Elephas maximus indicus: one gene and its partner. The protein of the gene in region 1 purifies or fractionates together with the protein of each later gene. This does not show direct contact. Links are inferred from orthologs where the notes say so. Each region holds a gene or a part of one and is shown in the gene's direction. Other genes may lie near its edges. The genes, in order: HSP90B1 and CALR.

What was found.
Region 2: the proteins of HSP90B1 (region 1) and CALR fractionate together in Homo sapiens (co-fractionation; 4 studies listed by BioGRID, with this or other methods). This does not show direct contact. The link is inferred for Elephas maximus indicus from reciprocal best matches to the Homo sapiens genes HSP90B1 and CALR.

What each region holds. Positions count from the first base shown.
Region 1 is NC_064822.1:170,639,081-170,654,375, forward strand, and holds the start of HSP90B1 (endoplasmin), read left to right. Parts: upstream 1-9,436; 5' UTR 9,437-9,573; coding exon 9,574-9,622; intron 9,623-10,586; coding exon 10,587-10,689; intron 10,690-11,429; coding exon 11,430-11,571; intron 11,572-12,293; coding exon 12,294-12,410; intron 12,411-13,632; coding exon 13,633-13,964; intron 13,965-15,295.
Region 2 is NC_064821.1:31,595,501-31,611,259, forward strand, and holds CALR (calreticulin), read left to right. Parts: upstream 1-9,019; 5' UTR 9,020-9,101; coding exon 9,102-9,192; intron 9,193-9,524; coding exon 9,525-9,626; intron 9,627-9,810; coding exon 9,811-10,014; intron 10,015-10,400; coding exon 10,401-10,495; intron 10,496-10,583; coding exon 10,584-10,793; intron 10,794-10,879; coding exon 10,880-10,993; intron 10,994-11,078; coding exon 11,079-11,222; intron 11,223-11,826; coding exon 11,827-11,919; intron 11,920-12,006; coding exon 12,007-12,204; 3' UTR 12,205-12,760; downstream 12,761-15,759. Other genes in the region: FARSA (phenylalanine--tRNA ligase alpha subunit), read right to left, coding at 1-7, 99-183, 1,187-1,302, 1,385-1,513, 1,612-1,704, 2,381-2,499, 2,581-2,679, 2,765-2,902 and 2 more; RAD23A (UV excision repair protein RAD23 homolog A), read left to right, coding at 14,524-14,595. UniProt on the Homo sapiens protein: Calcium-binding chaperone that promotes folding, oligomeric assembly and quality control in the endoplasmic reticulum (ER) via the calreticulin/calnexin cycle.

The sequences.
Region 1 (15,295 bases):
CATGTAATTAAGACTTTCTGGAGATATTGAGGCTAGATTAATTCCAAAACTGTTGCCCTGAGATAATCTTTAAAACTTAAACCAAAAATATCCCCTAAAGTCTTCTTTAAACCAAACAATACTCGCATTTAGTAAAGAATGTTTGCCTTGAACATCCTGCTCTTTTGAAGAAAACTATTTACATGGGATCAAATCAACAACAGCAACTTGAAAGGTCAGATAGGAAGCTCAGGAGGCTGCGAGTTTATGTCAAAGGGAATGAACAATTTGGAAAAGGAGAGTAAGAACAGTTGCACAAGTTGAGGACTGTAATTAATGTTACTCAGTTATACCTGTAGAAATTGTTGAATGGGTTATGTTTTGCTGTGTATATTTTCACCAACAATAAAAGAAAAACTATGTGAATTAAAATGTTCCCTGCAACATTGACTGTAATAGCAACAAACTAGACATGATCTAAACACTTATCAAATAGCGGAATGAGACATTCAAAAACTATCATATGGAATAAGCTAGTGTTTAGAATACCATTCCATTTATCTCTAAACCCACATATATGTAGGTACACTGTACACACACATATATTAGTATATACCATTGAAAATTTCTGGAAAGCTGCTAACAGTGGTGATCTCTAGATAATGGGAATGCTGTCATCAGGGAAACCTGGAACTTTCACCTTTGACCTTATATTTTTCTGTACTAACTGATTTTTTTTTTAACCATGATAATGTGTTAGTTTCATAATTTAAAACCAAAAGTGACAGTTATGCAACTACATGATTTCTAAGACTCCTTCCAGCTCCAAAACTCTACAAATTCCTAATGTAATTCATTATCAACATGGCTGGTTCGATCATTTAAAACAACCAGTTTATTTACCACAATTTTAAATTTAACAAATCACTTATTTGAAGTTCAATTCCCTTATCCTCAGCCAGCATCCAAAGTTGATAGAGAACAACTGGATAGATATTTTTTAATTGACCTGTTTGTCTTAAGGCACACTTTAGGAAGATGTTTGTTTTTAAATAGAAAATAAAGTATAAACAACAAAATTAGGCGCGAATTTATGACAGGTTTAAACTTTCTGAATGCATGTAAGAGAGGCATATAACCATTTTATATATCTGAACTCAGTTCTCAGTCAGGGTAATATGGTGTGAGCTGCCATGAGAGGTAGGAAGAAGATCTAAACAATCCAAAATTACATTTAAAGCTAGTTAAAAAGAGGACGTAATGTAAACTATAGTTACAATTACATCCAATATTTAGAAACGCATGTATTGTTCTATAGTTAAAAATACAAGTTCCATAGTTAGGAGACATTAAAACATAAATTGCTTGATGAAAAGCAACCAACAGGTTAATATGAGAAAATAATTCCTGTTTAATTTTTTAGCTGAAATCTTTTTGTTTTGTTTTTTTGTTCAAACATTAAAATGAGACCAAGGACTTAGAATGTAGATCAACATGTACTTCTGCATTCTCCTATGATGCGCAAGCTGAAGAAGACGAATACTCACGCCGAACTACAGAAGCCCAGTAAGATATTTGAAGGCATCAGACAGCTACCTATGCAACCAGGATTTGAGGACGCAAGATCCTAGAGAGAAGGAAAGCTTAGAGAAGTGAGCCTTATATTTTCTGTTGCTATAGGGTCGCTGTGAGTCGGAATCGACTTGACAGCACTGGGTTTTTGGTTTTTTACCCCTCAAAGTGTTTGCTAATCCTTATCCGGTTCGAACTGGTTCAGTTATGGCTGATGAGGCGAAACCAGACAGACCCGAATTTTTTCAATTTGGGTGATCCGGAACAATAACCAGAACAGGAAAAATGACAGGTTGAAGCTCTGGAATGGGAGACTTGGAAGAGGCATAGTAGGTCCTTTCAGGAGCCTGATGCAGGAGACTGGATTATTGGTCGGGAGAGCGAAACGCAAAGTGGAGCGATCACACACCATCTTTGAGCTAGACACTGCTGTTTCTGAATCTGCACAAAATTCAATAGGCAAGAGATTTGGTTGCTATGCAATACATACCCTGCCCTTGTTTTCTAAGAGGGAGATTAGGTTTCCAGCAGGGCTTCCACTGCTATTTTTCCCGTTCTGGTTACCATTCCGCTTATCATTCCCAGTTCACCCAAATTTTAAACATGGGTCTGTCCCATTTTTTGCTTCCTTGGCCAAGACAGAACCAGGAAGAGCCAGATCAAAGCCCCACTCTTAGGTCTCAGAGTGAATATTCTTAGGTAAGAAGGCACGAGGCTGATAAGCTAAGCAAAGCTCGGCAACCTCATAGTGCTAGAAAGACAAAAAGTGAAGTTCAGGGCCCACCAAGGAGGAGGTAGTGAATCCACTAGGCTTTCTGTTGCATTTTCTGGATGCTCAAGCTTGGTTAAGAAGGTCACCTTATTGCCAGTTTGTATTCACAGGCTCTCTTATTTTCTTCTAAGTTGGAATTATTTTTTATATGATACAAGTTAGGAGCCTAGCTCTATTTTCTTTGAGATGAATAACTAGTAAGGCCAGTACACTTTATGAAGTAAACTATCATTTTCCCTCTGAATTGAAATATCACTTTTATCATGAATTAAAGTGAAACAATCTATTCCTGGATTCTTTCTTTTGCTGCATTGATCTATTTGTGTATAGCATTGAATCCCCTTCATATATGTTATAGATTAAATTATGTCCCCCCAAAATATGTGGAAGTCCTAACCCCTGTATCTATAAATAGGAGCCTACTTGAAAATCAGGTTTTTGTTGTTAATGAGATCATACGAGAGTAGGGTGGGTCCTGAACCTAATCACTTCTGTGAAGTATCCCATAAAAAGCAAAAATAGGCATAGAGAGACACACACACACACAGAGAAGACAGACGTCATGTGAGGGCCCACCTACAAGCAAAAGAACACCAAAGATTGCTAAAAGACACCAGTTCACAGAAGGAATCGACATAGCTTTAATTTGAACTTTTAGCCTCTAAAACTGTGAAAAAATAAATGTTCTTTAAAGCCACCCACTTGCAGTATTTTTTGTTACAGCAGCACTAGGTAACTAAAACACTATATTTTGGGGAAAACCTCACCTTATGATTCTGAGTCCATCTCTCGTGAAAGAAGCTGAAAATGCCAGATACAACCTTCCCCAGCTTCCCTTGCAGCTACGTGTGATAGCCATCCTTCAAAATGACTACAATGAACTCTGCCTCCTGGTGTTAACATCCTTGTATAATCCCTTCCCTCAATGAGTAGGGCTGACTTGTGTAACCACTAGGATTTGACATAAATAACGGTATGTGATTTCTGAGGTTGGTCATAAAAGTCATCGTGGCTCCCACCTTACTCTCTCTTGGATCGCTCACTCCGGGGAAAGCCTGCTGCCATACTGTGAGGCCTAAGAGAGGGCCAAAAGTTAAGGAACTGAGGCTTCCTGCCAACAATCAGTGGAGAATTGAGGTCTCCTGCCAATAGCTATGTAAGTGAGCCATTGTATAAGTGGGTCATCCAGCCCCAATCAAGCCTAAGGCTGACTGCAGCCCTGGCCAACATCCTGACTACAGCTTCACGAGAGACTATGAGCCAGAACTACCCAGCGAAGCATTTCTAGATTTTTTTACCCACAGATAACTATGTGAGATAATAAATGTTTATTGTTTTAAGCTGTTACGTTTTAAAGTAATTTGTTACACAGCAATAAATAATACATAGATACGGCCACCTCACCCAAGTTCTTCATTTAATATTATCCTATCTACTGTAATTTTAATGATAATAATCACTGCAGCAATGCTGCTGGGGTTCTAATTAGGTTTCTACTTGAAACTCTTTCTCCCCAGATAGCTACATGGCTAACTCCCTCATCTTCCTCAAGTCTTTGCTCAAATGTCACCTTTTCAACTAGACCAGTCTGATCACACTATTCAAAACTATAAACTACACCCCTACATCCCCCAACACTCCTGATACGCTTTCCTTCAATTTTTTTTCCATAACACCCCTGTCTACCATACTAACTAGATAGTAGACAAGGATCATCTTTGGTAAAGGGAAGGACAACACACAATACAAGGGAAGTCAGCACAGCTGGACAAAAGCAAAAGCTAAGAAGTTTCCTGGACACATCCAAACACTTTGAGGGACAGGGTAGCTGGGGCTGGAGCCTGGGGATCATAGTTTTTGGGGACATCTAGGTCAATTGGCATAACAAAGTTTATTAAGAAAATGTTCTACATCCCACTCTGGTGAGTGACGTCTGGGGTCTTAAAAGTTTGCAAGTGGCTATCTAAGATACATCAATTGGTCTCATCCCACTTGGAGCAAAGGAGAATAAAGAAAAGTAAAGACACAAGGACAATATTAGCCCAAAGACTAATGGCAACCACTTGAACCAGACACTCCACCAGCCAGAGACCAGAAAAACTAGTTGGTGCCCCGTTACCACCGGTGACCACCCTGACAGCGAACACAACAGAGTACTGGACAGAGCAGGAGAAAAATGTAGAACAGAACTCAAATTCACGTAAAAAGACCAGATTTAAATGGTCTGACAGAGACTGGCGGAACCCCCAAAACTATGGCCCCCAGATGCACTGTTAACCCAGAACTGAAACCATTCCCAAAGCCCACTACTCAGACAAAGAGTAGACAGGACTATAAAACAAAAAATAATACACGTGAGGAATGTGCTTCTTAGTTCAATCAGATATGAGACCAAATGGGCAGCTCCTGTCCAAAAGCAGGATGAGAAGGGAGCAACGGACACGAACTAGTCTAATGGACACAGGGAAACCAAGGTGGAAAAGGGAGTGTGCTGTCACATTGTGGGGATTGCAACTAATGTCACAAAACAATATGTGGATAAATTTTTGCATGAGAAATTAATGTGAGCTGTAAACTTTCACCTGAAGCACAATAAAACAATGATAACAAGAAAAAATATATATTCCTAGTGCCTAAATGGTACCTGGCATACAATTGGCTCTCAAATATTTGTTGAATGAATGAATGAATTTTTATATTAATCTTAGGAGAACTGACACTTTAATGATAAATCTTTCCAGCCAAGATCATGTCTTTCTATCAGTTTAAGCCTTATTTTCTATTCTTCAGTAAGATTTTATAATTTTCTTCATGTTGGAGCTATGTCATTCTTAAGTTTATTTCTAAGCATTTTACAGTATTTATCTCTAATATGAATGGAATTTTTATTTTAATTTCTATGAATTTATTACAAGAGTAGCACAAGACTATCAATTTTATATATTTATCTTACAGTTAATGATTTACCAGATTTCATATGCATTCTTGGGCTTAAGCAAAACAATTGTCAGGGTGGCGCAGGACCGGACAGTTTTGTTCTGTTGTGCACAGGGTCACTATGAGTCGGAATCAACTCAACAGTACCTAACAACACCATATTTATTCATGCATTTTTTTAAACTACATTATCTTGGGTTTCCTGAATATACAAGCATGTCACCAGTAAAAAGGAATTTCAAAATAATGGACTTCAACCTCTCTAAAGTTTATGCCAAGTACTTCATTTTCTTGTCTTATTGTTGGACCAAATGTGTGGCCCAATACTGGCAATAACAGGCATCACAATCGAAATTCCTGATTCTTACTGAAATGGTTTTTAGTGTTTAGAATGATAGTTATTTTAGTTTTTTTTAATGAGGTATAATTTATATATAATAAAATCCACCCTTTTTAAGTACCGTTGGATGAGTTTTAACCACCACAATTAACATCAAGAGCATTTCCATCACCCCAAAAAGTTCCCTGATACACCTTCATAAAAATCATAGTCATTCTTTTTATATTTTTTTCAGTTAAAATAAGATACATGTATTTAGGATGTAACTCCACTGTTAATATTTGTTCAAGTTTTATACAGAGGCTGTATCTTCATTGCTCTTCTCTGTAGCCAGCACCTAGCATAATACCCGGTACATTCCGGGTCCTCAACACCTGCTGAATTAATAAATGAATGAGTGGATGAATGAACCAATCAATGAAACTACCAATTCCCCTCGGGGCTTGGCCCCATTCCTTAATGTTCCCTGATGCCACCTGCTTTCCTTGGTCTCTCCAGTCTGCCTTCTCCCTGACTCCCCACTCCTGAATTACACCTGCCTACTTGGTGATCTATCTAACTGCATCCCTTTGCCTGTTTTTTTCTTTCCAAATTCAACCACAAAGTAGAGTGCTGTCTAATGGGTTGCCTCTGTTGAAGAAGCAGATTAAAGAGAACAACGAAGGTAGCTGTTTCCAGAAGTGTCTATGGAAATATAGTGTCAAAAAGGGCAAACTGAACTTGGGATGCAAAGGAATCAGATCCAACGGTGGTAGCTGAAGTAACCATCTGGAGTGTTAATCCTGGAGCAGCTAGGCCAAGATGGGAACTGGGGATCAGTAATGGGTCAAAAGTCAGAAGAGCTGAAAAGATCACGGGAGAGAAACAGGAAAGCTAAGAACCAAGAAAACTGCCCATTATAGGTTGAATTGTGCACCCCAAAAATGTGTTGTAAATTCTAATCCTTCTACATGTGGATGGACCCCACAGTGGTTACGAGCTTGCTGCTAACCAAAAGGTCAGCAGTTCAAATCCACCAGCTACTTCTTGGAAACCCTATGCGCCAGTTCTACTCTGACCTATATATAGAGTCACTGTGAGTCGGAATCAACTCAATAGCACCTAACAACAACATACATGTAGATAAGGAGCCCTGGTGGCACAGTGGTTAAGCAATCAGTTGCTAACCAAAAGGTTGGCAGTCCAAATATACCAGCTGCTCCATGGGAGAAAGATGTGGCAGTCTGCTCCCATGAAGATTATAGCCTTTAAAACCCCATGGGGCAATTCTACTCTATTCTATAGGATCTCTGTAAGCCAGAATCAACTCAATGGCAGTGGGTTTGGTTTTTGGTTTTATACATGTGGATATAAGGAACACTGGTGGCACAGTGGTTAAAGCACTCAGCTGCTAACCAAAAGATCTGTGGTTCGAACCCACCAGCTGCTCTGTGGGAGAAATATGTGGTAATCTGCTTCTGTAAAGATTATAGCCTTGGAAACCCTACTCTGAGTAGTTCTACTCTGTCCTATAGGGTTGGAATAGATTGGATTGGCAATTGGTTTGGTTTATATGTGTGGACCTAATCCCATCTGGGAGTAGGATTTTCTTTGTTATGTTAATGTCATGTCAGTGTAGGGTGTGTCTTAAGCCGATCACTTTTGAGATATGAAAGGAGCACATTAGGCAAAGACAAAAGGGAAGGTAGCCATGAAGATGGCCAAGGAACCAAAGACCAGGAGCTGAAAGGACAAAGATCCTCCCCTAGAGCCAAAAGAGAGAGAAAGCTTTCCCCTAGAGCCAGTGCCCTGAGTTAGGACTTCTATCCTCCTAAACTGTGAGAAAATAAATTTCTGTTTGTTAAAGCCACCCACTGTGGTATTTCTGTTATAGCTGCATTAAGAAACTAAGACACTGCCCATGCCTTTTACAGGATACCCAACCAGGAATCTAGTCTTAAAAGAGATTCTAAAAAGCAGAGCTGAACCAGACAATGACCAGTCATCTGCCAGGCTGCCTTGTGCTCTCCCATCTCATCTGCAGAAAGACCTACCACAAGCATGGCTCTATTTTGGAGGGCATGTGTCTCTCTCAGTTTCCTCCAGGTGCACAAACTACCCACCACTGACCAGTTAAGATGGAATTTGCAGTTTCAGAACTGGTTGCTTACTTGTTCAGAACTAGAGACAAAGATGAAGTTGAGCTGTGAAATGCAGAAAAGAAAAAGAATTCAATTTTTTAAAAAAAGAATTTAAAAATGTAACTCGCACTCTGGTATATGCTAAAGGAGAGACAGGAGAGGGGTGAGATGGGAGCGCAACAGCATAAAACAGGCTTTGTAAACTATCCTTTGCTTACTAATAACAATCGTAGGTAATTTGGGTATATGTAAATAAAGGACCACCACAATGGGTAAATACTAACCACAAAATCAAGACAGGCAACCTAAATAGGGGAAGTTGTAAAAAATTATGGCAGTCACTGAAAAACTTGTCTTCAGGAATTCAGGTAACAATTATCTAAAAACTAATTCAAAGTTCAGTTTTCCTAGAGGAAGCAATAAGGAAGGCTGGTGTGTATATTGGGAACCCAGTGAGGTGCGGCGTAAGTAAAGACAAAGGCAAGAGGACGTAGAAAATATTTCGCAGCTCAGTGACAGGGGCTTCCCTCACAGACAAGACACCTGGTTTTTTCTGTCTTTCTGAACGCTGACAGGATATTTCAGTGAAGTTACAAATCCGCACTCTTTTTCTCATTTGCTGCACCACAGGTTTTGCTTTCAAACATCCGCAGGTGTATCCTCCTGCACCGGTTAAACTAAGCTGCTTCCTTTTCTGTGCTAGAATGGACTTTATGACTACGCTTCTCAAGGACTACTTGGTCACCACCTTTGCACATCGAACTGGTTCACGATTTGCCTCAGGTGGGGAAAAAAGTCTACCACCTCGGCTTCTGTAAACCAAATCAGGGAGAAGGAATGAAGGCCCAGGCTGTCCAAGTGACGCAGGAAAAGCCAGATTCAGAAACGCGCGTCCATGAACCTTGAGACGGCGCCCAGACTCTGAGAGCTCGGACTCGGGGTCACAGGAAGGCCTTGGCCAAGGTGTGACGGCTCTGTAGGCCCACTTCTAAAGGCTGTGTACACTGGAGATTTCTCCAAGAGGCACAGATCTCTAACACAATCAGAAAGAAGTGTAGATTCTAAAGCACACAGCACAGTTACCGCAAAACCTCCCTGGAAAAATGTGAAAGAGCCACAGACTACGATTCCCAGTGTTCATTACAGTGAACCCCTAATACGTTGCATGTCGGGAACTGTAGTTTATCGCCACCCCCATGAAAAGCGGTCGGAATTTTCAACCTCTCACGTGTTTCTCTTTTCCGAGAAGAACGGCCAAGTAGAAAGCTGAGAGAAAAGTAGTGCTAGAATCTCTTCCAAAGTGATTCTATGCATAGACAGGAAATGGTAAAGAACGCGTTGCCATGGATACCGTTTCCCTTGGTCACGGAGTAAACGCGCTCTAGGAACCGGAAGTAGTTCCCTTGCGACCTCTTAAAGGATGGGGGTGTTCCGCGCTTACGTTTATGGGGCGGTTTCTCTTAGGGGCCAAAGATTCCCAGGCAAAGGGGCGGTCCTGCGTGTGAGGAACCCGCGGAGACATTTGATTGGAGAAAAGAGGCTACGGATGACCAATCGAAAGGAGACACGCTTCGGGCACCGGACACCGCACCTGGACAGCTCCGATTGGTAGACAACGGTCCCCCCGACGAGTTCCCATTGGGTACACGGGGTGCGTGGTGCGGCGTGATTGGCGGGTTCGTGTTTCCCGTCCCCCGCCCGAGAGGAGTGGGGGAGAAAAGCGGCCCGACCTGCGTGGGGGTAGTGGGCGGACCGTGCGGCTTGAGGTGTGAGGAGCTAGTCTTTTGGGTTGGAGGCGTGGAGACAGCTCCTGTGATCCAAAGAGACTTGAAACCTATCACTGGCTGCGCGCCATGAGGGCCCTGTGGGTGCTGGGCCTCTGCTGCGTCCTGCTGACCGTTGGTGAGTGATCCGGGGCAGCAGGCGCCCCCCGATGCCTTCCCTGCTCAAGCGTAGTAGTTTCTCGAAGGTTCTGGGGGTGTTCAACCAGGGAGGGGGGCAGTAGAAGCTGTGATGGGCCGAGGGGCCAGTCGCCTTTCCTCGAAAGATACGGAATTTAGTTTACCCCCTTCCTCTGGAAAAAAAAAAGAGAGCAAAGTCATTTAAATCTCCTGAGCTCATAGTATCCGCACCCAGAGGTCTCAGCCACCTCGTGGTGGGGCCCGTGGGCTTCGTCCCACCCACCCGGGAACATTGTTGGCGCCCTTTCCAGAGGACTTTTGTCAGTCTCTGCGATCTCTGACCATCTGAGCTTGAGGACCCCCGCCCCAGTCTTTTGGACTCCTCGCGAGCGCACGTTTCCTTTCTCAGATGCTGGACTCGGGAGCGTGGGGCCTTGGACCCGGTGGGAAGGACCTGTCTGCGTGTTTGATTCAGTCTTGCTGGACCCAGATTCTTAACGTCTCTTCCGCTTCTCAAGCCCCCGGGCCCCGTTTCAGTTCCCCTCGCCATAGGTTGCACAAATATTTTTGTATTTTGACCTGTGAAAACGAAGCCCTAAGTTTTGGCTTGGTCAGTTTGGAGGCCGTGTTTCGGCTTGCGCGCGTAACACGTGTGGATGTAGAAGGGTCTTAGTATCAATCTTTTCGGCAAAGACCGGAGGGCTATATTTAGAAGCGATGGTTGCCTCCATATTTCAAAATCTGTTGGGGGACCTCAGCGTCTGAACGTTAATAAGAAATATGCTGACAGTGGGTTTACGTTGCGTATTTAAACTAGTGGATCCATTCTTCATCTCCACCTCCCCTGTTTGCCAACTAAATTTTGCAACTCCTACTACCCTTGCCCTGTTTGGTCATACTCCTTCTGAGAAGTACACGAAGCAATAATATATTTAAGAGTTTTCTGGTGTTAAATCTTCCTTCAGGGTCCGTCCGAGCAGATGATGAAGTCGATGTGGATGGTACGGTAGAAGAGGATCTGGGTAAAAGTAGAGAAGGTTCTAGGACGGACGATGAAGTAGTACAGAGGTTTGTGTTCATTTGAAACTATACAGATAAGCCCTCTTGACTTTCTGATAAATGTTGTGGAATACAGAAGCTACTTTTGTAACTCTTCTCCAAGGGTACTAGATAAAGTGTTGTGGTTGTTAGTTGCCTTCCAGTCTATTTTAACTCATGGTGAGATAAAGTGTAACAGCTGGTGTTTATAAATACCTAAAGCAGTCAGAGAGCACTTTAAGGCTGTGTATGTTTGTACATAGGATCTTCTGATTCCCAATATATCTATCATCACCTATCTCTAGAAATGATTGATCAAAGTTGAATTAATTCCTTTTGATAGCTACATTGCCGAATACTAGCCCCATAAACTTCAGTTGGTTTTGTCCTCAACTCTTTTGGTATATGCATTTTAGTAGTAAAAAAGATAGGGTTTCCATCTGTTGAATAGTGTTTGTACATTTGACCTCAGACTTCATGACAATTTTGTAGACCTTGCTGTGAGTTATGTCTTTGCTGTTCAGTGGAGGAAAGTTGGGGTTATTTTCCTGGCAGTTTTAAGAGCTGAATGTTTCCAACTAAGTGTTAAAGGTAACCTACTATTGTGTTACAATAATAATGAGATGAGGATTAGTAACATTTTATAAAGGTTTGCATTTTATGCTTTTAAACCTCGAGACAGTCATCGGAGGCTCTTAATGCTGTCCTCACAGATCTGAAGTTTTTGTGGGGAACTAAGCAATGCAGTATTTGCTTATCTGTTTTCTTAGAGAGGAAGAAGCTATTCAATTGGATGGATTAAATGCATCCCAAATAAGAGAACTTAGAGAGAAATCTGAAAAGTTTGCCTTCCAAGCTGAAGTTAACAGAATGATGAAACTTATCATCAATTCATTATATAAAAACAAAGAGGTAAGCGTCATGTGGTTAAGGTAGTATTTTATCTCTGTATGTAGTATACTTAGTCTCACAGTAAATTTACTTTCACAGTAATTCCATGTAACTAATTAAAAAGCAAAAAAACCCAAACTCATTGCCATCAAGTCGATTCCAATTTATAGTGACCCTATAAGACAGAGTAGTAGAACTGCCCTGTAGGATTTCCAAGGAGCAACTGATAGATTCGAACTGCTGACCTTTTGGTTAACAGCCAAACGCTTAACCAGTGTGCCTCCAGGGCTCCACGCACTGGTTAGTGAGGTTTAAATATCCGTGTGTGTAAGGATTGCTTCTAGATGCTTACCATATTGTTTAGGGAGGTAAGTGGGAAATGTTAGACATTTTCCCTCCTCTTTCCTTTTCCTCTCCACAAATGATCATGCCTGCTGAGTAGTTTTGAGTCTTAAAGACAATCACATAAACGGAGCCTCACTTGTTGCAAACATAAAGATCACAGTCACGCAAACTGAGCCTCACTTATTGCAAACATAAAGATCACTGGTAGGTGAATAGAGTTTTGCCTTTTATCAGTTCAGGTATCCCTTGTAGATGTTACAGTCCTCTTTTTACCAAGAGAGTACCATAAGGAGAAGTATTCCTTGGGTGAAGAAGAGAAAATGGATTTGACATGAAATTCATTGTATTGTATATCTTGAGGCTAACCTAAATGTGTCTTAAATCTGGCTTCCACTTAGATTTTCCTGAGAGAACTGATTTCAAATGCCTCTGATGCTTTAGATAAGATAAGGCTAATATCACTGACTGATGAAAACGCTCTTTCTGGAAATGAGGAGCTAACGGTCAAAATTAAGGTAAGCTTAAAACACTTCTTTCTTTTAAAGCAAAAAGAATCCTTAAAGATAGGGAATCCATGACAGTAAAGTTAGGCTGGGTTATCATAACCCATTGCCCTCAAGTTGATTCCAACTCATAGTGACCCTGTAGGACAGTAGAACCGCCCCATACAGTTTCCAAAGAGCAGCTGGTGGATTCAAACTGCTGACCTTTTAGTCTTAACTACTGTGCCACTAGGGCTCTGCACAATAACAGTTCCCAAATCTCAGAGACTAAGTCAGGAGTCTGCAACCTATGGGCCAATCCATCCCGTTACCTGTTTTTATAAATAAAGTTTTGGAACACAGCCATGCCCATTTGTTTATGGATTACCTATGGACTGCTTTTGTGCTTTAACAGCAGAGTTGAATAGTTGAGCAACAGAGACCATATAAGCCACAAATCCTAAAATATTTACTGTCTGGCCCTTTACAGAAAAGGTTTGCCAACTCCTGGCTTAAATCATCGATCAGATGCTGCCTATGGCTTTTTTTCTGCATCATTCTCATTCCAGGACACAGGCTAATTGAGCAGCCACCATCTGGAGTGTAGCTGGTTGCCATGGTACAGAGAGAGCTCAGGAGGGTCTCACACCCATTGAAGTCTCCAGCCTGAAAGCAGCACTCATGACTCCCACTTGCTACTTACTGGCCAGAACTAGTCACGTAGCCTCACCCAAGTATATAAATGGACCAAGTATAATCCTGCTATGTGCCTGGACGGCAGAGAACTGGGAATATTTAGTGTACAATAATGATCACCACAGATTACAAATACAGCAGTCATTCACATTTTGGGCCCTTTTACTTTCTATCAAAGAAAAGGCAAAACATTTTTTTGTTTTTCAGGTCAACCTGTGCCCTGTGACATTTAGACCAGTCTTCGCCTTTTCTATTTTGATAGTATCTCATAGCAAAGTACTGAACATCAAAATTTTGTTTTTAAATCATTGAACTGATGTATACCAGCACAGTTTAGATCAAACAGGAGTTTTCTCATTTAAAGAAAAATGCTTACATTTTAGGATGTGTACTTTCTGAAAACCTCAGAAAATACTGTATAGAGGAAAATGTCTCAATTTAATTTTCTATATTAGAATTGATGTGGCCCAGAGCTAGTAAGTTCTCAGTTCCTAGCTCAGCATTTACTTGGCACACCATACTTAAGCAGGCTTAATACTTGTTCTTATCTTGATTTTAGTGTGACAAGGAGAAGAACCTGCTACACGTCACAGACACTGGTGTAGGAATGACCAGGGAAGAGTTGGTTAAAAACCTTGGTACTATAGCCAAATCTGGGACCAGTGAGTTTTTAAACAGAATGACCGAGGCACAAGAAGAAGGCCAGTCAACCTCCGAATTGATTGGCCAGTTCGGTGTTGGTTTCTATTCTGCCTTCCTTGTAGCAGATAAGGTTATTGTCACATCTAAACACAACAATGATACCCAGCACATCTGGGAATCGGATTCCAATGAATTTTCTGTAATTGCTGACCCAAGAGGAAACACTCTAGGACGGGGAACCACAATTACGTGAGTATTACTAATTCCTAGTAAGAATTAATAGTCTAGGGTATGCGTTGCAGAGAAGAAACAAACAAAAAAAAAACTATTGCTGTCGAGTCAATTCCGACTCATAACAACCCTATAGGACAGAGTAGAGCTGCCCCATAGAGCTTCCAAGGAACGTGTGGTAGATTCGAACTGTATCTCTTGGTGCTTGTAACACTGAAGTAGACCGTGCAGCTTTTTGCTTTTTGTTGTTAATTTTACCATCGTGGAGATAAATTTCCATTTCAAAGGTTAGGGACTTGTCCAGTCCTGTCAAGTGAGTAAGAGAATGTGTCTGCAGCTCCAGTTTTTTTTTTTTTTTTTCCCTTGATTCATAGTTTAAAAATTTCCCAACACTAAGGATTTAAAATTTTTCAAGTAGGGAAGAAGCTTATCCCTGTTATTTTGACCAATTCAGGCTACAAGCTAACATTTTTTGTCTTCATAGTCACAAATATTCTTTTGGTGAGATCTAATTAGTTGACTGTATTTTAGGATTTTTCTAATTTGTTTCCAATTTACCTTAGTATTCACATCTCCAAATCTCATTAAAACCAAAAAGCCAAACCCATTGCCCTCAAGTTGATTGTGACTCATAGCAACCCTATAGGACAGAGTGGAACTGTTCCATAGGGTTTTCAAGGCTGTACTCTAGGGAAGCAGACTGCCACATCTTTCTCTAACAGAGCAGCTAGTGGGTTTGAACCTTTCGGTTAGCAACCAAGCGCTGTAACCACTGTGCTACCAGGGCTCCTTCCAAGTCTCATTGTTAGGTGCCGTGCTGTGAAGTTGGCTCCAACTCATAGCTAGCCTGCACAACAGAATGAAACCCTGCCCAGTCCTGCACCATCCACACAGTTGTTGTTTTGCTTGAGCCTGTTGTTGCGTTAGGAGTTACCACTCACTAATAACTACATCTTAGTGCCCTCTGTTTAGCATAGTGGGCTTGGGTGTTAGAGGACTGTAGATAAATCAGATCTCTGACTTGTTAGGTGATGTTGAGTTGGTTTCTACTCATAGCAACCCTATGTACAAGAGAACAAAATACCGCCTGGTCCTGTGCCATCCTCATGATCATTGTGATGTAGCCACTGTGTCAGTCCATCTCATTGAGGGTCTTCCTCTTGTTCGCTGACCCTTTGCTTTACAAAGCATTGTGTCCTTCTCCAGGGACTGGTCCCTCCTGATAACATGTCCAAAGTACATGAGATGAAGTATTGCCATCGTTGCTTCTAAGGAGCATTCTGGTTGTACTTTTTGCGAGACAGATTTGTTTGTTTTTCTGACAGTCCATGATATATTCATTATTCTTC
Region 2 (15,759 bases), on another chromosome or scaffold:
CTTGTACCTTCAGGAGAAAATGTGGGAAGTACGTGATGGGGCCCTTGAACTCCCACCCACCTCCCCGTCCACACCCCAAGGCCCTCAGCCTGCCTCACCCCTGTGAGCCGTAGCCACCCTGAGAGTGGGTTCGTTTGACCCGCTGGACGTAATCCATCGGGAGCTGCCCAGCCTCGGCCGGATCTGGCGGAAGCAGAGCATCAACTGGTTGGTCAACAAGCACTTACCCACCGGGCCTGAAGCCACCGCACGGAGGACACAGGCAACTGTGCGGCACCCACCCTCCTGCCCAGAGCAGCCAGGGGATGCCTGTGAGCACCTGAGTCAGCCACAGCCGTCCTCTGCCCAGAGCCCTCTGTGGCAGTAAAAACTGCACAACCCACAAGGCCCTGCACACTCTGCCCTATCACCTCCCTGCCCTCATCTCTTCCACTCTCCCCAGCCCCCTCAATGATGTGTTTCCTCCTACCAGGCTCAGGGTCTTTGCAGTGGCTGTTCCTTCTGTCTGGAACTTCCCTCCATCAGCCATCCACATGGCTCCCTCCCTCGCCTCCTTTGGTCTTTGCTTCAACAACTCCTTCCTGATGAAGTCTTTGCACGTCAATTTATTCTAAACTGACACCAATGCCCCGTGCTGGTTTTCCCTGGTGCATTTACTGCCATCTACTCTACTATGCAGATCGCTTGAGAGGTAACACTTGACCCCCCCACTAGGAATGCAGGTCTCACCAAGGCAGGGACTTCCCTGTCTCGTTTGTGGCTGTGACCCCTGTGCTTAACAGAAACTCAGGCGCGCAGAAAGGGCTCAGTGAACGTTTGTTACACAAATGTGTGAATTCTTGTGCTCTTCCAGAGATGTGGCCTTGGCGTGCCCGGTAAGCCTGGGATCAAATCTTGACTTCACTTCCAAGCTGTACGACCCTGAGTAAATGACCTTCTCTCTCTGCCTGTTTCTTCATTTGTAAAATAAGGCTAACAGTACAACTTTCTAAGGATTGTGGGAAGGCAAGAATGGAGCCTGGCACGCACTAAGTGCTTAGTCAGCATTAGATGTCATGGCAGCGATGAGGACAATGTTTCTCTAGCCAGGCACCCAAGTGACCCACCTGCTCTCCTGTTAGGTAAACAACAACTATGTGAATCCACTTAATTTCTGACAGTGCTAAGAACTCAGAAGAAAACCCACCTCGTAGGAAGAAAGTGTCATGTTGGTCACGTGCTGGGTGCTGCTGGGGCTGGAAGAGTGCATCAAAGTTCCAAAAGGAGCTCTCAATGAAGTTGTCGGTGGGCATCTCAGTAAACCTGGAGGAAGATGCGGCCTGACTGCCCTGCCTGTGCCCATGTCCAGTCACTGGCCTGGCCCTGCCTCCAGCCCCATGCTCACCCCATCTCCAGGAAGATCTGCCGGAACTGGGTGCGGACCTTGAGCAGGGGGTGAAGGTGGCCACTACTGGGGAGGACACCACGGGCTGAGAAGTTGTAGGGCTTGAAAGGCCGGTCCCGCCAGGAGCCGCTGTGGGTGGAGTGTAGGGTGCCAGGGTCCAGTGTGGGCTGTCCCCCCACCCCTTGCACAGCCCCACCTGCCCCGCCTACGCTGGGGCCGCCCTGTACCTGGAGATCATCTCAGGGCTAAGCTCTGTCTCCTGCTTGGAGATGCTGGTGCTGAAGGCACTCCCTTTGCTCACCCAGTAGGTCTTCAGGATCCTGTGGCCAGAGCAGGGGAGGGGATGCCACTGCTATCTCCTCTAAGAGGCCTTCCCTGATCTCTATCTGACACTGACCCCAACACCACCCACCAAGTCACTCTGCTTTATTTCCTTCCTGACACTTGGCATCACCTGAAATTCTCTTACTTGCCCACCCCCCATCTCCTCATGTTCTTTTGCTCAACAGACGCTTGTTGAGGACATACTGTGTGCCAGGGTCTGGTTGAAAACCACAGAACACAGCTGGGAACAACCACCACAGATAGCCTTTAGAAGACTAATTCCGTGCCAGGCTGTTCCGCTGAACTCATTCCTTATGACAAGAGACCATTTTGTTTGTAGGTGAGGACATGGAGACCAAGAAAGACCAGGTAACTTGGCCAAGATCACACAGCTAAGTGGTAGAGCCAACTCCAGTCTGTGTTCTGGTAACCCTGCACCACCCTGCATCTGCTCCAATGGGGTGTCAGCTGTGTAAGAGCAGAGCCCCAAGCCCCGTCTGGTTCACGGCTATAGCCACAAGGCCCAGAACCCTGCGTGGCACACAGTAGGTGCTCAGTATGGGAGGATGGGGGAGACTGCCAGCACTCACTGCCCCATACTAGCAGGTCTGCTCCCTCCCTACACCCAGCTCTGGGACCTTGCAGGTGACATTGGGGTTCCAGCCCACTCACACTTCAGACAGGAGCTTCCTCTTCCTGAGCTCGCTCCTCTCCTTCTCTCCCAACTTCTCGGCCTCCCCACACTGGACCAGGCGGAGCCGCCGCTGCACCTCATCTGCCACGCTGTCCACCTGCAGTGATGATGGACTGTGAGGGACAGTGAGGGCAAGGGGCTCACCCACCCACCCATCCACCTGCTTGCAGGGACTCACCACTCTGAACACTCGGGGCCCATCAGCTGTGCTCTTGTCCACGCGGATCCACTTATTGGACATGGCCTTGCTGAAGCCCACTTTGCCACTGGGCAGTCGCTAGGGGAGAGGCTGCAGTCAGTGGGGCACAAGGGCTGCAACCATCACATCCCTGAGCCCTGCCCTCTGCCCCCCAGGCCCCTACCATGAGCTCGCTTTGAGCCAGGCCCTCTGGGGGGATGCTGTGGAACACCCTGGCTTCATGGCTGCCCTCCCGGGCAATCTCCTCGCCCTCAGTGGTGAGCTCCCAGCGCCTGGAGGAACGCTGCTCGGCCTCAATGATCTGTAGGAAAATGGGGGAAAGGGGCACAGGCAGGGGTGGGGTTCAGAGCCAGGCATCCCCTCACCACAGCACTACCCCTGAAGCCAGATGCCTGTGTTCACATCCCAGCTCTGCCACTTTCCAGCTGAGAAATCTCTTTAAGGATTTCCCCTTGCTGAGCCTCGTTATTATGATAGCTCATGCCTCCCACACTGAGATAAAGTACTAATGACGTTGCCTGGCAGAAAACCTGCGACAGATTCCAAGGTCTCAGGTAAACTGATTTGTGTCAGCATCCCAGAGCGTCAGGGAAGGTCCATGTGAGGAATCCGAGGCACGAGGATAACGGTTCCAGGGTCAAGCAGACAGGGGCAGGGCTGGTTGGGCCCACAGGTCCTCGCTCTCCCTCAGATCTAATCTCAGCTCTGCTCCTCACTCACTGTGTGACCTCAGGAAAGTTGCTTAACCTCCTTGAGTGAATTTCTTCATGCATAAGAAAAGAATAATGATGGATGCTACCTCAGCAGTTGTTGCAAAAAGTAAACCAATTCATACCCGTGAAAATTACAAAGAGCTTAACACATGGTAAATCCTGCATAAACTCTGTTATTACTAAGTTATTATTTCCTATCATTATTGTTGTTATCATTACCATTACAGTCATTACGCTGAACCACATTAAACTGCCACTACTTGGCACTCTGTGACCTACATCAATGTCAGTATCACTTGGCCAAGCCCTATACACCTCAGCTTCGATCTTTCCCCTGCACTGATGACCTTCTTGTACTGTCGGGTGGGGAAGAGCTTGGGCTCTGCAGCCAGAGCACCTAATCTCACATTGGGGTTTATCTGACTTTTTGAGACCAAGTTACTGAACAGTGCTGAGCATCAGTTGCCACAACCACAAAATGGGGATAATAGTGTCATTATGCTAGGGTTGTGCCCAGGATTGGACAAATTGAGATCAGAACAGGGCACAGAATGTGAACTCGACAAATAAACTGCCAAGATCTGCCTCCTGAGTCCTGGCCTCATGAGTCTGCCATCTATTATGGCATGCTGAGGCCCCTCAGCATCCTCCTCCTGTGGCTCTGTCACCTGTGCTTCTCCTGCCTTGCCCTGAATCTCAGGCCGTGCCTCGGCTCCATGCCAGCTGCCTCCCACAGCCAAACACCAACTCCTTCACCTCGAGGATGTGGCAGACTCTGTCCCTGCATATCCTTCTCAAAGCTGATGTTGACAGCCCCTGAAGCCGGCTGCCTGCATGTCTTCCTGGCTCCAGCTCCTGCCATGGCTCCCCTGCACTCCTGGGAGATAAACATCCGGAAGGCCTCGAAAATTATGGCTCTGTTGGTCTCTGCAACCACCTGTCTGCCCCCTCCCATTGATCCTAAAGTGCCATGGCTTTTATTCTCAGTGCAGAGATCTGACCCTGCTGCCACCTTCTCCAGGAGCCTCCCTAACCCATAAGGCTGGGTCAGCTGTCACCTCTGGGTTCCCTGTGCTTGCCCCACCACTCTGGTCACTTGAGCATCTTCCTCGTTAGCCTGCAACCTTCATGACCGCAGCGATCGCATCTTGTCCAAAATCGCACCACCCACGCCAAACATGCCTCAGTGGACGTTTGTTGTATGAATGAACGCGAGTTAGCCCAGGCCCTCACTCCTTCCAGAACCCTGCCTGCGCACCCCGGACTGTACACATATGCTATACAATTACCCCTCATCAGGCCTGACGTGGTCTGGCCTGGAGGCAGGGCCCGTCAGGCACAGCCACGGCAGGTACTTAAGTGCAGAGGGCTGGCATCACAGCCCCAGCTCACCTCGCCCAGGGCCTGCAGGCTCTTCACGGCTCCCACCATGGCCTGGTGCTCCACGCCTAGCTCGGCCGCTACCTCTGCGCTGTCCAGGCCTCCATCGGCCGCCTCTAGCCGCCGTAGTAGCAGCTCTGCCACAGGACTGTCCGCCATTGCTGCTCCCACCACGCTCTCCGTGCCCCAGCCTGGCCAAAGGAGCCGGAACCGGAACCTGCGGCAGGAGCGTGTGACGCCATCTTGAGTGTGGCGAAGCAGTCGTGCGGCGCTCCAAGAGACGCCATCTTTAGTGTGTCAGGTAAGCCAAGAGACTCTTCCCACCTCTGCCCTGGAAGTCTGGTTGACTAGAGGGGTCATATTGGTGACCTCAAGGTCAGAAGGACAGTGTTGTTTCGGGTTTTTATCCAGCCCTACACCCAGCGGGCTGTATGACCTTGGACTGCACCCTCTCTGGGCCTGGGTATCTTCTGCTCTTCTGAATTTTTTCTTGCACTGAAAAGGCCGGTGGGTGGTGGGCTTCAGAGATGGTCCCTCTGCTGTTCTCAGTTACTTTTAAACTTTCAAAGGGAGGCTGGATAGGGGCTATCCCCATTCATAGAGGAGGGAGGGACTTCACTAAAAAGAATAATAGTCAAAGTAGCAGGTAACTTAGGTAAGGCTACCTTCTGTGTGCCTGGCCTAGGGCTAAGTACTTCTTGTGTATTATTTCATTTCTCCACAAAACCATGTGATGTAGATATTGACATAATCCCAATTTCACAGACGAGAAAACTGAGGCTCAGAGGGTAATGATTTGCCCGAGGTTCTATAGTGAGTTGGTGAAGGTGGGGTCAGAAATGGTAAACCCTCTAGATTCTAATCCCCCATGCTCCAAGATGAATGTCACAATCAAACCCAACATAACCCATTCCCACTGGGTCAATTCCAATTCATAGCAACCCCATAGGACAGAGTACAACTGCCCCACAGGGTTTTCAAGGCTTTAATCTTTATGGAAGCAGAATGCCACACCTTTCTCCCATGGAGTGGCTGGTGCATTTGAACAGTAATGGATAGTCTAGATCATTGTTGTCCTATTAAAATGTAATGCAAGATATAAATATTTTAAATTTTCTAGTAGCTGTGTTCAAAAAAAAGAAATTGTGTTCAAAAAAAAGAAACTGGTGAAACTAATTTTAACATCTTATTTAGCCCAATACATCCAAGTTATTATTAACATATCTTCAATTAAAAGTTACTGAGAGTCTGAGGTCTTAAATGCTAATAAGCGGCCATCTAAGATGCATCAATTGGTCTCAACCCACCTGGATCAAAGGAGAATGAAGAACACCAAGATCACAAGGTAATTATGAGCCCAAGAGACAGAAAGGGCCACATGAACTAGAGACTTAACATCATCCTGAGACCAGAAGAACTAGATGGTGCCTGGCCACAACCAATGACTGCCCTGACAGGGAACACAACAGAGAACCCCTGAGGGAACAGGAGAACAGTGAGATGCAGACCCCAAATTCTCATAAAAAGACCAGACTTAATGGTCTGACTGAGACTAGAAGAATCCTGGCGGTCATGGTCCCCAAACCTTCTGTAGGCCCAGGACAGGAACCATTCCAGAAGACAACTCATCAGACATAGAATGGACTGGACAATGGGTTGGAGAGAGATGCTGATGAGGGGTGAGCTACTTGTATCAGGTGGACACTTGAGACTGTGTTGGCATCTCCTGCCTGGAGGGGAGATGGGAGGGTAGAGGGGGTTAGAAACTGGCAAAATGGCCATGAAAGGAGAGACTGGAAGGAGGGAGAGGGCTGACTCATTAGGGGGAGAGTAAGTGGGAGTATGTAGTAAGGTGTATGTAAGTTTATATGTGAGAGACTGACTTGATTTGTAAACTTTCACTTAAAGCACAATAAAAATTATTTAAAAAAAGAAAGTTACTGAGATATTTTGCATTCCTTTTTTAGTTAACTCTTTGAAATTTGATGTATATTTTACACTTACAGCATATCTTAGTTTGGACTAGCCACATTTTACAGGGCTAGTAGTCACATGTGACTGACTTTATTAGACGGTGCAAACAGATTCAAATTCCAGTTCTTCCATTTATGTCACTCAGCCAAATCGCTTAATCTTTCTGTGCCTTGGTTTCCTCACCTGGTGGAGATGATAAAAGCCCAGGTTATCGTGAAAATTAAGTGAAATAGTGCATACTCATGTATGCAGTAATTGCTAATACTGAGTGAGTGTAGACCATATGTCAGCCACTTTTCTGAGCAAACACACTTATTCAGTTAACCGTCACAATTATTGAGTCTATAAAATGGGGATACCCAATCCTGACCCACCTGCCTCAGGTGTCAGGGAGACATGTCTCTCAGAGTCCTTTCTCTAGGTAAGGCTAGTTTCCAAGCACTTCCCCTGTTTTTATTTCATTCCCACAAGAGTCCTTCATTCTTTCTGTCATGCGGCAAGTCATTTTTAAGCATGTTCTTTGCCAGGTGCTGCAGTAGACACTGGGGAATAGTGAGAACAAGACAGGCACAATGTCTACCCTCAGGCAGGAAGCACAAGCCCATTTTCTGTCCAGGACACTGAGGACAGGGGTGGCAGGCCTGGGGTAGTCACCCTGCACCTGGGCCTCCTTTTGAGGGGGGCAGGTTGGTGCCAGGGACAGATTATTCAATAAGCAAGGTACACACGGGCTTACTTTTACTTATTTACTTACCTGTAGTGCACAATTTCACTTGAAACCATTGTGTACTACAGATTAGTCCATAAACAAAACTAAGCCCATGCATACGTTGTTTTTACTATATGTTGCTGTGAGTCAATTCCAACTCATAGTGACCCTATAGGACCGAGGAGAACTGCCTCATAGGGTTTCCAAGGAGTGGCTGGTGGATTTGAGCTGCCAACCTTTTGGTTTGCAGCCGAGCTCTTAACTGCTGTGCCACTGGGGGTTTGTGCGTTGCTTACTGATTAATCTGCCTCTGCTGGTGACAGAAAATACTGACTGAGGAAAGGGGCAGTACCTCTATTTCTTCGAGACCTTTCTTTCCTCCGCTTCTGGACTCCTCACCACTAAAAAAGCATCCCTTCCATGCCCTTGTCCCAGGATTTCCCACCGCTCCCCTTTCCACAGTCCACTTCCTCGTTCCCAGGTCTAGGGCCTACTATGTTAAAAAAAAAATGTGGAGACCGGAAAATCCCTACCCTCCTTCCTCCTCTCTGCAGCCTGGGGGCAGGGATCTGGTATGGTCTCATGCCTCTGGCTTCAGAAGACTCTAGATCCAGGGGTCCCATCCTTCTCCCTTGGACCTTATCTTTCCTACCGTCTGCCTCTCTTTTTCCTCTTCAACGGACCCCCTGCCCTCTTGCCCTTAGCCGTTTAATTGCAAAAGCTAGACGGTTTGTGGGAGACCACAAGACGGCGACCCTTTTCATTTACAGGCTGAGGGGGGAGCAAAGGGGAGGCTGTAACTAAGGAAGCAACACAATCTTCACTCTAGGAGCCACATCTTTGAGCCTTCTGGGCTTCCTTCTCTCTGTCCCTGTACACCTCTAAAAGCGCTGAAGGCATTTCTGCCAGGTAGGAGCTGGCCAGGGGCGTTTGGCCTCTCAGGAACTCCTGTGATTTCAGAGAGGCCGTGTCTTGCCCCAGGTCACAAAGCAGCAGTCTGACAAGTTTCCGAGGCACTGGAGGCCATGGGGAGGAGAACTAGCACCCACCTGGTTGGCCTGCATGGCTGTAGCCCTGGCACCGGGGTGCAGGAACGCCCTAGGACCCCAGCGCCTGAGTTCTGCCCCATTCTAGGGCAAGGGGAAGCCCACCGTCAGGGTTGTTTCTCAAATGCAGGGTATAAAGCTGAGTGGCTTGTAAAGCCCAAAGGCCGTGCTCATCCCTCTACGCAGGGGGGACGGGAGGCGGCGAGGTTGGGGAAGGACATCGGCCCAGCGCGGTGACACCTGCGCTCGCGCGGGTTCTTTAAACGCCCAGATGAGGAGCAATGCGCGCGAGCGAGGACTGGGCTGGGCTGAGGGCTAGTCACATGACCTGGCCAGAGAGGCTCGCAGCCCCCACCCCACCGGTGGGCGTCCCCCACAACGCGTGGTCGACCTTCATTGGCCTGCGGTGGGGCCAATAGAAATCGGCCATCTGGGAACCCAGCGTTCCGAGGCACAGCCTAATATGCTGAGCCGGCAAGAGTCCAATGGAAAGGGGTGTTCGAAGCCACAGACCAATGATAAAGCACGGAGGGCGGGTGCAAAGGCTGGGCCAGGTTGGTTTGAGAGGCGGGTGGGTATAAAAGCGCACGGCCGCTGACGGCGTCCGTCCCTATTGCAGAGCCGCTGGCAGGGTAGTGTCTTAAAGGGCTTGCGTGCCACCGCCCCCTTCGGCCCGCCATGCTGCTACCCGTGCCGCTGCTGCTCGGCCTACTTGGCTTGGCCGCCGCTGAGCCCACCGTGTACTTCAAGGAGCAGTTTCTGGACGGAGGTAATACCTGGTCCCGTCCCAAAGGTGCCCCGAGGACGCGGCTGGTCCCCGGCTCGGATCTCCGTTGTCTGTAATTACTGCTCAAAGGACCAACACTGTGGCCTCCAGGGACCAGAGCCGCAGGCGATCCTTCCTGCGTTCCTGGGGAGCGCCGAGGGCGCAGCTGCCTCCTGCGGTGGGGGTTAGCGTTCGCTTGAGGTGTCAAACTAGAGGTTGGGGTGGGGGGTGTCAGGGAAGATTTCCTTACCTGCTCCTAGGAGCTTGTGGCCCCCGGCGATGTGGGGGGTGAATGGTCAGCGCGGTCACCCTGACGTGTTCCTTTGACTCCTTAGATGGGTGGACCGACCGCTGGGTCGAATCCACACACAAGTCGGATTTTGGCAAGTTCGTTCTGAGTTCCGGCAAGTTCTACGGTGACCAGGAGAAAGATAAGGGTAAGAACCTGGGGGTGGGTGCCCAGATCTGGGACAACTTTATGGCGGAAGCCTTAGTCTCTATACGGAACTTGGGCATCCCCAGAAGTAGGATCAGTAGAGAAAGGGAGTTGTCTGTATTGTGGGAAGCCGAGGGTCCTGGGGGTGGTGGTTTAGCTGTGTCCTCATCACCGTTTTATGCCAGGGCTGCAGACAAGCCAGGACGCCCGCTTCTACGCCCTGTCGGCAAGATTCGAGCCTTTCAGCAACAAAGACAAGACGCTGGTAGTGCAGTTTACTGTGAAGCATGAGCAGAACATCGACTGTGGGGGCGGCTATGTGAAGCTGTTTCCTGATGGTTTAGACCAGGCGGACATGCATGGGGACTCTGAATACAACATCATGTTTGGTGAGGGGCCCTGCCCAGTGGTGACTTCTGTACCCTTCCTTTGGGCTCTTCAACCGTGAAAGGTGGTCCTGAGACTACAGAAAGAACTTACTGACACTCATTTCCATAGCAGGAAAGCTAGGAGAATAGATACAGTTAGCTGAGTTTATGCTGGTGATTTATAAGTGTCTGTGTTATCGTTAGTAGCTGTTGCCTCATTTTATAAATGAGGATACTAAGTTCTGCAGTGATAACTTTTTAATTTAAGGTTCTACACACAGTCTATTAGACTTAAAAGATGGTCTATACTAACATACGGATTTTGAGAATGAAGTCTTTTGCAAAGAGGGGTGGGAGCTCCTGGTGTGGGCAGCCTTTGGCTCTAACTGAACCTGTTTCCCACTTAGGCCCTGACATCTGTGGCCCAGGCACCAAGAAGGTTCATGTCATCTTCAACTACAAGGGCAAGAACGTGCTGATCAACAAGGACATCCGTTGCAAGGTTTGCCTGGGGGTGGTGGCAGAGGGCTTCCAGGGAGGATCCAAGGCCAGCCGGGTGGGCGGGACCACTCACTTCCCGCCCTCTCCAGGATGATGAATTCACACACCTGTATACTCTGATCGTGAGGCCCGATAACACCTATGAGGTGAAGATCGACAACAGTCAGGTAGAGTCAGGCTCCTTGGAAGATGATTGGGACTTCCTGCCACCCAAGAAGATAAAGGATCCCAGTGCTGCCAAGCCTGAAGACTGGGATGAGCGGGCCAAGATCGACGACCCCACAGACTCCAAGCCTGAGGTTGGTGCTTAGGCCAGGGCTGTCCACAGTAGAGGGTGTGGAGGACAGAAAGCCAAGCTGACTCTGACCTCCTTGTGTACGCCCAGGACTGGGACAAGCCTGAGCACATCCCTGATCCCGATGCCAAGAAGCCCGAGGACTGGGATGAGGAGATGGATGGAGAGTGGGAACCACCCGTGATTCAGAACCCTGAGTACAAGGTGGGCTTGGGGCTCTGAGTAGGGCTGGGGTGTATGGTGGAGAGGGCACAGAACTTTGCCCACCATCAGGTTTTATCCTCCACAGGGTGAGTGGAAACCCCGGCAGATTGACAACCCAGATTACAAGGGCAAGTGGATCCACCCAGAGATCGACAACCCCGAGTACTCCCCTGATGCTAACATCTACTCCTATGACAGCTTTGCTGTGCTGGGCCTAGATCTCTGGCAGGTGAGGCACAGCGGGAGGAGGAAGGAGGATCCTGGGGGGGAGGAGTGACAGAATCTTAACCCAGAAGACAAGGAACAGAGGAGGTAGGATTCAAATGCAGGTAGGTCTGACTCCAAAATGATCCTTTTTCTGTTCTTGAAGTATTTCCTGGCCTGTTTTTAGGGAGCACTTGCTGTGTGCCAGGTAGTTTTCTCAAATACCTTTATTTGAATCAACTCAATTCTCCCAGCCCATAAGGCGGTTAGATCACCCCATTAGAAGTTTGCATTTGTAGTTCTGAATTTTTGTGTGTCTGTTTCCTTGTTCACCGGTGTATATTCCGCCTAGAAGAGTACTTGGCACGCAGTAGGTACTTGATAACTATAAGTGAGTGAAGAAATGAGAAGTAGCAGAGCTGGGATTTTAAAGTCAGGTGGGTGGACTGCAGTCCCTGTCTATTTTTAACTGTAATATTAGCAATGCTATTCTTCTGTACATGTGTTTATAAAGAAATGTAGAGACCGAGGTAGCATAAAATGAATATAGGAACACAGATGTGAGCCTCGTCCAAGGCTAGGGCCACCAAGTGTCATCTCTAATCACTTCTCTCTCCACTCACCCCCAGGTCAAGTCTGGCACCATCTTTGACAATTTCCTCATCACCAACGACGAGGCCTATGCTGAGGAGTTTGGCAACGAGACGTGGGGTGTCACAAAGGTGGGGCCGGCCCCAGGCCTGGGTTTGGGGGTGGACAGGGCTGGCAGGTAGGGGACAGGCTCTGAGGTGTATGGTCTGGGCCCACAGGCTGCAGAAAAGCTCATGAAGGACAAGCAGGACGAAGAGCAGAGGCTAAAGGAAGAGGAAGAGGACAAGAAGCGCAAGGAAGAGGAGGCGGCAGAGGACAAAGAAGAAGAGGAGGACAAAGATGAAGATGATGAGGATGAAGAGGACAAAGAGGAGGATGAGGAGGAAGATGTGGGCCAGGCCAAGGATGAGCTGTAGAGGCCATGCCACCTGCCTCTGGGGCTGGACTGAGGCCTGAGCGCTCCTGCCACAGAGCCGGCCACGCCAAATAATGTCTCTATGAGACTGGAGAACTTTCACTTTTTCCAGGCGGTTTCAGATTTGGGGTGGGTTTTGGTTTTGTCCCCGCCTCCTTTTTTTTTTTTTTTTACTGGTGTTTTGTCTTTGATTCTCCCTCAGCCCCCACCCCTGGGTCTCATCTTTCTTCACATCTTTTCCTTCCTCTGTTCTCTGCCTGAATCCCTTAGTTCCTTTCCAGCCTGGGGGTCAGGGAGTGGGTGTGGAGAAGCCCAGGCCTGAGATTCCATCTGCTCTCCTTCCTGGAGTCCGGGGGGCATCAGGAGAAAGGGGTGGCATCCCAGCGCCCCCAGCACTGAGAAAGAATGGGGCTCTTAGGGCCCAAGCTCTGCCCCCACTTTCTCCCTACTCCCAGGACTGGGCCACTTCTGGGTGGGGCAGCAGGTTCCAGCTCAGCTCATACTGAGAATGTAAGAACTACATGCAAAATTTCTATTAAATTAAGTTTTGTGTCTTCCTTCTGTGTTTCCTTTTTCGGGGGAGGATGGACATCTGGGAACCAAAGATGGCCTTTTTTTCGGGGGGGGGGGGTTGGCTCCTAAGTAATGGGTTCTCTGAATTTTCATTTTTCAGCTGCTGAAGAGTTGGCTGAGTGTCATCCCACAAGGTTACAAAGGCCCTTGCTTGTCTAGTGAGCCCAAATCGGAGGATAACTGTTAAAAAATATTCCACGTATTAACTCTTTTAGTTCTGTTACCTATTTGCTTTGATTGTGAGGAGACTGAGGCACAGAACTTAGTGGTGGGGCAGGGATTTCAATCCACACCTGAACACTGTCTCATGGTTTATCTCGTCATTGAGCTTTTTTCTGTCCCTATTACCTAATGATTACATGGCTGTTAGTGCTTTTAAACTTTTTTTTAATACCAGCTGGAGTTAAAAGCTATTTACTTTTATAATCGAGGAAATAGGTTCAAGCACAACCCCAAGTTCCTGTGGTCTTCTGTAGCCATAGCCATGATGGGGTCTGAACCCGTTGAGGGGAAAGAGGGCTTGAGGTAGTGCAGAGAGAGCAGAGGTGGAGATCCAGGAAGCTGCCTATGGCAAGATGGTGAAAGCCCAGTGAGGAGGATGGGGGAGTTGATGGACCCTGTTTCAGGAGAGGGTAAGAAGCTGTAAGCTGCTCCTGGCTGGTGCTGGTGGAGGTTTGCATAGGCTCAGGGCATGGAGTGGAGAGAGGCAGCATGACTTGGTTACAGTTGTTGGGCAGTTGGTGAGGACTGTCCAGTGCCCAGCCTGGGTGAGTTGGATGGGAACTGTGAGAGCAGCAGGTTTGGAGGCAGCTAATGATGGTCAGTTGGGGAAAGGTCAGGTTTGTTGCCACAGCCTCCTCTGGCCTCCAGGCTTCCAGTTTCGATACCCTAACTGGGAATCAAGCCTGCTCCTCCAAGCCATCCAGTCTCAAAACACGGGCTTTGTGATGGCAAACCTAACTCCCCTTGTTCCCTCCACTTGCTCCTTCATGCTTCCATTCCTTTGTGTGCGCTGTGGCTATTTATTGGAAGGAAGCCTTTTAAGTTAACGTCTTCATTAAGTGTTTTTGGAGTCAGACCCAGGATTCTGTGACCAAAGTGGCTGGACAAATAGCAGCAGCGGTGGGAGGCCCCAAAAATCATCCTCTTCAGGAGCGAATAAGTGAAACCACAAAATCGTTCCAGTGCTCCTTCTGTTTCCACGCCCAAATGAGTTTTTCTAAATTGTTGGTGACTTTCCAGGTATCCTTTCCCATCTTGAGTAGTTTCCACATTCAAGGCTCCACAGCTGGAATAATACAAAGCTCATTTGAATGGGCAAAAACATGAACATTTAACAGAAGAAATGTAAGTACATAACTTTTATTCAACGTCACCAAAAATAATTTTTTAAGTCACTTCCGCGTGGAAGCAGGGGAAACCGGAGCCATTTTGTGACCACATGACGTCACCGCTAACCGGCATGGCGTCACTCCCAGGAAGCCACGTGACGGGTGGGCGCGCTGTGCAAGGAGTCTCCCCGCTCCCCAGGAGTGGTGTTAATCTGCGCATGCCTGGTCAGAGGACGCGCAGGTCCCAGCCCACGAACCTAAGAGCCACGCGCCGGTCACGTGCACGGTGGCCGGCGCGCGCACCATCTGCCCCGGAAGCGGTCTGCGCGCGGCGCTGCTGGGCGCTAAGATGGCGGCGGCGTGAGTTGCATGTTGTGTGAGGATCCCAGGGCCAGGATCCGTCGCTCGGCCCTGCCATGGCCGTCACCATCACGCTCAAAACGCTGCAGCAGCAGACCTTCAAGATCCGCATGGAACCTGATGAGACGGTGCGGGCCGGGCTGAGCCCCGCGGGCAGGAGCTACGACGGGTGCCGGGGGTAGGGTGGGGGCGGGGAGGCCGGGATCCCGGTGAGAGGGGCGCAGAGGTGGGTGCGGGTCAGGTCCTGTCGTCTCCCCACCTGCCGGACCTCCTCGGATCTCCTCCATGGTCCCCGACCCAGCCCCCAGCGGCTCGGCCGCTCCCTGGCGAGTCTTGGGGCGAGGCCCCACCCCCGGGGCGCCCGCCAGGCCCCGGCTCCAATGTCAGTGCTCTCTCGCGGGGCGCAGGAAGCCGTAGGCTCGGATTCCCGGCCGGGTCGCGCTCTCCAGGGCGGGGGCTCCCGCGTTCCCGGCTTTGCAGGCAGCTTCTCGGAACGTTGGCAGCTGAATCCAGGATTGGTGATCGGGAGATGCGGAGTGATGACAGCGATGAAGATGATAATAAACGGTCGAATCGTATTGGTTTTAGTGGTCCATTTATTCTTTACTAGTTGATTGAGCTTTTTGGTGCTATTGTCTTACTAAATGTGTAAAACAGCTTGTTGTTTGGAAACTGATATTCTTCGTTTTACTACAGTCATATATAGCTAATAAGTGGCAGAGCTAGAATTCTAATTCTATTCTGCCTAGTGTGAGAGCTTACGGTCTGAACACTACGCTGTTTTTGGCTGGAAGGAGCTTAGGACTTAAACGTAATAAGTGTGTTAACCGGTGTACTTGCCACTTTTTGCACAGCTACCCCCTAAGAGAGACATTAAAACCCACTTTTTGTAGAAAAGAAAATAGACTTATGTTTTTTGACCAGCTTATTTGTTTGATTTTGGGCAAGTTGCTTAACTTTCCTGTCTATTTTGGCAAATATAAGATGAGAACTTACATGTGTATGATAACCTATACATGTAGGATAGTATTAGTGACATAAGATGTTTTAAGTAAATATTGTGTAGTCTTAATGCCCAAGGTTGTCAGCATAGAATGGGGGACGCTTCTTTTTATTATTTTTCAGCACACTTTATGTTATTTAAAAAAATATTCCTTTTGTTCTCCGCACACCAGTGTCGTTTCCATGAGAGCAGGGCCATGTGTTGAGTTTTATTTTCTGTGACTTCAGTGCCAGAAACAGCACCTGGCACATAGAAGGCACTCAGTAAACGATCTGTTGAACGGTGGGAT